Cricetulus griseus: one gene and its partner. The protein of the gene in region 2 interacts with the protein of the main gene of each other region in a pairwise test. Links are inferred from orthologs where the notes say so. Each region holds a gene or a part of one and is shown on either strand. Other genes may lie near its edges.

Region 1 (2,743 bases), on a different chromosome or scaffold from region 2:
AATACATGAGTGTCATCTATGGAATCTCAACATTTACCAGTACAATAAAAGATGCATTTGGTGGCTTTCAGATAGTAAATTTACATTTCATGGGAACACTTTTAACCATAATTTTCAAAAATCTCCACATAAAAAGCAGAAGATTAAAGATAAGCACAAAAGAACTTTGCATTACCTCCTGTTGCATTACCTCCTGTTTTCACTACAAGCATGCCTGCTAGGTCATTTTTTGTTTTTTTGCTCAAAACGACTCTTGTCGTTTTGAAGGTATACAGGGGCAGCTGGGTGGGGTGACACAGGCCTTTAATCCCAGCACTGGGGAGGCAGAGGCAAGCAGATCTCTGTGAGTTCGAGGCCAGCCTGGTCTACTGAGACAGTTCCAAGATATAGCCTCCAAAGCTATACAGAGAAACCTGGTCTCAAAAAAAACCAAAAAAAGGGGGGGTATACAGTGGCCTTGTCCTCAAAAATCTCTTACAGACTATGGCAATGAAAGCAATGGTTAATCCCACTTAGCTAGAACTAACTCATCCTTCATAGGAGATACGTGTTTGCATGGCTATTTTATACTGGGAGGGAGGCAGGAGGCTGATCTCCATTTGGACCGACAGAACAAACCACCAAGTTAGGACTTACTCTGAAATTCACTAGAACAAGTTTTGGAAGTTCACTAACTTTTATGCTGTATACAAGACATTACACACTTAGGCTTAACATTAAGAAAATTGAAAATTCAGCAGTAAAGTGCTAATATGGAAGGGGGAACAGTATAAGCTGTACTAGGGTATATTAGTAATTCTCAAAGAACATTTAGACTGCTTCAAATTCTATTCAGAAAACTATCTCTCTGTACCTTTAAAAAGTTACATCTTTTAAATGAGCTGAAAGCTAGACTATACAGATACTTCAGGGGGTGTTCAATCTCTACTCCAACTTTTAGAAAAAAATGTTTCTAAAAATTAACAATGCAACTAAACTACTTTCAGATGACATGGGAGATCAAATGAACAAGTTTCCACCTTAATTTGCTTCACACGTCTTCTGAAATCCCTGCCCCTTAATCCAACTCAAACTTTGATATTTCAAAGGAGGTCAGTAAGATTCTGGTATTATAAATTCAAACTCAGTACTGCCATCTGTTACATTCTGTTTAAACATGGAATCATTTTCCTGCTGAATAAAAATCTCTTCCCAGTTCATTGCCTTGTTTTGAGGAGTAGATGTGGTCCCTACTGGAGGCTCTTTTCCAGCACCAACCTTATACCCAATTGCATCATCCTTCATGACAGGCACAGCACTCGATCGATCAGAAAGATACGCATACTGTCTGATCTGCAAAGACTTGCATGGATGCAAACGATAAAGCTTTGAGTCCCCAGAAGGATCTTGACTGTGAACTGACTTTATGTGTGAAGACATAAACTGATAGTTGATGAAAGATTTGCCACATGCTAAACACTGATACCTTCGCTCCCCCGTGTGTTGAATTTCATGCTTTGTGCGATACTCTGCAAGAGGAAATACCTTATCACAGTAACGGCAGGCATACTTCTTCTCCCAAGAATGAATGTTAAAATGTCTTCGCAAGCTGGTCAGACAGACATATGACCTTTTGCATACAATACAGATATAATAGACCCTTCCATCTACTATTAACTCATAGTGATCATCATGTTTTACTTTCATGCGCTTGTTTGATGGCTCACTGCCAGATGTTTTTGGTAGCTCATTCTCAAGTTTGGCCTCCCCTTCATCAGGGTCATCTTTGACAGGGATCACTATGTCATAAGTATCTTCACCTATATTTGCATAAACCTTGCAACCAGTTGATAAGCCTTCAATTTCAGTAGCTGTATCTAAAGTAATGATTTTCTGCCCCTCCGTGAGATATTTTGGTCCTAAGCCTGGAACCTTCGTGTTTCTAGTAATGATATCTGAAATTTTCAAAGACTTGGAAGGTTGCTCTTGAACAAGTACAGGAGTGTGCACCTTCTGTGTCAACGATCCATCAAAAGTGGTACTTTTGGAGGTACCCGTCTGTGGGACCAAAGATGTATTACTGACTGCTGAGTCTGGACTGGAGCTAATGGTGTCATCATCATCATCTATAATGTCTTCCTCTTCTTCCTCATTGGCCTTGTTTCCTGTTAAAACAGCATTGTTTGGTGTCTGCTGATTCTGCACAAGTAAATTAATCGGTGTCGGCTGATTCTGTACAAGCAAATTGATGGAAGAGGACATGTGATTTGGAAGTGAAGAGCTGACACTTGGTGCTGTGGTAAGTGGAGCCTGATTTAATAAAATAATGTTAGGAGTCAGATGTGTTGAAGCTGAAGACACCAGCAATTCTTCACTTCGTTGTGGTTGGCTAAGAGTTGCCTGATTTACAGGAGTGGGAAGTGTCTGAGCAGGTGTGATGTCTGTTAAAGGGGGGGAGTTATTGCTAGCACAAGGTGTCACTTCTGAAATAGCAACAGGGGCTGGGGTAGGCTGGACCTGCGTCACTGTGTTGTTACTTGGCAAATTCTCCTTTTCAGGCAAAATCTCAGAGCAGAAAATGACATCATCATCATCATCCGAGTCAGTAACAATGATCTTTTTCATTTCATAATCTTCAGCAGATAATGAAAAAGACTCTGTTATAATGGGCATGACAGTAGCCCCGGTATCTTGCACTTCATCCTTTGATTTTTGGATGGCAAGGTTTTTGTCACTACAATCAGGAGGTAAGGTCTCAGCAGTA
Region 2 (3,756 bases):
TACATGAAGCTTTCCTTTTCTTTCTTTCTTTTTTTTTTTTTTAATAAATCTCCAAGAGTCCCAATTTTAGACCAACACAGAACATGTTCTGACCCCTCTGGCTGTTCATACTGCAATCCTAAGAAAGGCACTGGAACTATAACCAGCCATGAGACGCCTCACACACACACCTGAAACAGACCACTACCTCACTCACATAACAAAGAAACTAAGCAAATTATATACAAAGCAAACAAGGAAAGAAAATCTGTACTATTCATACTCATCTGTCATCATTTTCACCCCAAAATCAAAATACAAAGCACAGCAAATAGTAATAATAGCAAAATAGAAGATTACTTATCTGTACCCTTTCCTATAATTCCTCAAAGAACCAGCAGAGGTGAAGTAAAAGATAAAAATCTTCCATCTTATCACCTCAAAAGGCTCTATATTAATTACACCGAAGGCCAAACAATGCTTTAATTTGTAAAAATAGTCCTGGCTTCTAATGCTGTTGAACCTAGCTACACAAAGCCCAGTTTCAAAGCCGGACCCAGATCACCACCAGTCATCCAGAACCTATTTTCAAACTGCCTTTGTACTCCTCCTTCAGACTCTCATCCCTCCCCCTAAAGGTTGAGCGAGAAACCGACACTCTGGCAGCAACAGACCAACCCTCCAAAGACCCCACCAAGAAACCTCCCGAGAAAAGCATTTCAAAGGAAAACTAAAGAACTGGAAATGAGAAATACGGTCCAACTGACTGTACACATTGTCTTCTTTCTTTCTTTTCAACTACTTCTTTTAATTCTGAAGTCTAGATGTCAAATCTTTTCCTGTAACCCTCACCTAAACTATATGAAAAGGGGAACAAAAGTTGTTTCCTCCATAAGCCACAAACCTCACAAGGACAAAATCATCTTGCAAGGAATGTCTTCACTGTAGAAAAAAATCAAGGAAGTATTCCAGTCTAAAAAGAATGGGGGCAGGGACTATGAAATCAGAAGATTCGTATCAATTTAAAGGTAATGAGCAGCTTACACATTAAGACTCATCTTGCTACAATTAGAGCAATATCTATACCAGCCCAAATTTCCATACTGAATCCCATTTTAAAAGAATACCATATTTTGCAGCTACTGATGAGTAGGCTATATAATTATCTGGGATCAGCACATTTGCAAGAACGTATGTACAAAAAGCAAAACCAAACAAATCTTAAGGCCAATTATAAAACATGAAGCAGTCATAGGCCTTTATCTCTAACAGATTCTAACTTAATGGTAAGTTAACCAACCAAACAAACAAAAGACAACTGTAAAAATCACCTTTCCACTGGCTTAGAAATAAAATTCCCTTTGTGCTTTCTCAAATGGGTTTGCAAACTCAAGTTTTCATTAAGTGGTTCCCTTTCGTCTGATCATTCACAACCTACAGCCCTTTTGGAAACCAAGAGGGCTGAAAAGACTCTCAGGTGTTCTGCCGCTTTCCTCTGGTCAACAGAAAGCATGGTTAGAATTCCTTACCCCTTAAAGCACCAACATTATCATATTTGCAGGTCTAACACACGACACCTTCACAAATCTCTGCCATCAAAAGTATTTTTAGGCTTAAAAACAAAAAAAGTGGTGGCAATTCAGTTAACATAGATCCATTTGTTTTTCAAGGCAAAGCAAAGGGGTTCCTACTAACAGGCTAGGCTCCCTCCCACCCACCTCACCTGGAAAAGTAAGGGATCCACCCAGGAAGAGCAGAGCTGAAAAGCATCTGGGCCGTTCGAACTCAGGAGGAAAAAAACAATGAATACTATTTAAGCTCTAAAGCTCCCTGCAACTTTCTACTGCCACAGATTCAAAGGTGAGGGGGCTGAAAGTTTTGAAACATGGTAAGAGCCATCTATACAACTTTCTCCTGACCAGGACAAATTCCTTTCCCAACCCACACACAACATGCCAAGAAAACAACTTTTTGAGCTCTGAAAACAGAAGTATGTTAGCTTAATTCAGAAAAATAAAATAAAATGAAATAAAAGTACACACAAAAATGTAATTTACACAACTTCTACCTCCCGGTTCTAAACCAGCTTCCGGTATTAGGTCCAGTACATTTACCTTTTCCTTAACATAAATAAAATACCAAAATACATCCAAAGCATTAAAAGTAGAAAAAATAACTGGCTAAAATTCACCGTCAGCTTTAACAGGCTCTCTTGCCTTTTTTTAAATTCCCTCCAGTTACCATTAAGACAAAAATTCTACTTGGGTTATCCTTTTCCCAACTAGTTATACACACATTTTTATAAAAGGAAAAAATGAAAAGAACACACACCTCAAATGTGGACTTCTAAAGCCAATCCTTTAAGACACAAACCCAAAGCTTCACCGGTGTGCTGTGAAAGACAATCCAGCGAGGTTCAGGCCACCTCTTCCTCTTCCTCTTTCAGGATCTTTCCTGCCTCTTTCCCTCTCCCTCCGTGTCTGTCTCTGTCTCCCTCCCGTCCTCCTGTTCTCTCTCTCTCTCTCTCTCTCTCTCTCTCTCTCTCTCTCTCTCTCTCTCTCTCTTTCCCCTCAGATCCAACACCTAAAATGGAAGTTGCACCCAGCCAAAGGCAAGGGAGCCTGGGTGGTGACAAACTGATCTGGCAGCCCTACCCTAGCTTTCCTAAGTGATGTCAGCCCCTGCGAGCTTCCAATAGGAGCCAGGCATAAATCAGGGAGCTGACCTTATCCAATAGGAAACTTTATTATAGGAAATTAAAAAAAAGAGAGAGAGAAAGACAAGGAAGTTTTAAATATATGTATTATATATATATTTATATTTAAAGCGGAGACTATACAATCTCCAAGGAATTACTGCAGAGCTCAGGGGGAGGTGGGAGGTGCTAGATAACAAAGCTTTTTTAGAACGGCACGCCTAAGCCTCAGTTCTCTTTGATGAGGGTCTTGCTCCCTTCCCCTACCTATCAGGGTGGGTAAACGGAAAAGAGCTTACTTTATTTGCCTGCTGCTGTTTGGTTTCTTGCTTTCTTCCCCAAAGCATTTCCCAATGGAAGCCAGGAAGGAAGGAGAGAGAAATCCCAGAAACAGGACTGTTGATTGGGATGGTAGGAAATATCTCAGGCAAACTCTCAATTTCATTGTTTTGATTTAATTGCATTAGCGTTTATGAGGAAAAATAAATGCTTAGGCTTGTTGCTAGCTTGTTAGCCTCTCTGCTTTAAACTAAAAGGAAGCAGAATCCACAGAGCTGTTGAGGAAAACCACTGTCTTTCCATAAAAGAAATGTGGGTTTGCCTGGTACAATAGACAGAATCTAGTAAACAAAAAGTTTAGAATAGATAAGAATATAGTTAAAATAATTAAGGGAATGCTATTTGTGAACTCAAAATTACCTGGCATTTTTATTTGACCTAAATAAAACATACAGGAATTTTCCTCTAGATTTGTTTAAGATTTAGGAGGGGAAGGGGTTTTGCTTATTGTTGCTTTGTTTTGTTTGAGACAAGGTCTCACTGGACCACTGGCTGGCCTCAAACTTAAAATCCCTCAGCCTCTGCCTTCTCAGTGATGGGAATGCTGGCATATTACCACTTGGTAAGACTAGTATCAGTTACTTACTAATTACTAAACAAAGATAATGAATTGGAAGGTTTCTCTTTATATTTTCTAAATTAAATGTGTGTATCTGTGTTTAAATATGTGCATAGGCATACATGTACTACAGCACTCATGTTCAGGTCTGAGAACAATTTACAGGAATCCCTTCTCTCCTTCT

What was found.
Region 1: the proteins of Ctnnd1 (region 2) and Zbtb33 interact in binary tests that used the Homo sapiens proteins (3 or more experiments, as listed by UniProt). The link is inferred for Cricetulus griseus from reciprocal best matches to the Homo sapiens genes CTNND1 and ZBTB33.

The regions. Positions count from the first base shown.
Region 1 is NC_048604.1:28,860,918-28,863,660, forward strand, and holds part of Zbtb33 (transcriptional regulator Kaiso), read right to left. Parts: coding exon 1,093-2,743; 3' UTR 1-1,092. UniProt on the Homo sapiens protein: Transcriptional regulator with bimodal DNA-binding specificity.
Region 2 is NC_048599.1:90,880,201-90,883,956, reverse strand, and holds the start of Ctnnd1 (catenin delta-1), read right to left. Parts: upstream 2,618-3,756; 5' UTR 2,311-2,617; intron 1-2,310. UniProt on the Homo sapiens protein: Key regulator of cell-cell adhesion that associates with and regulates the cell adhesion properties of both C-, E- and N-cadherins, being critical for their surface stability.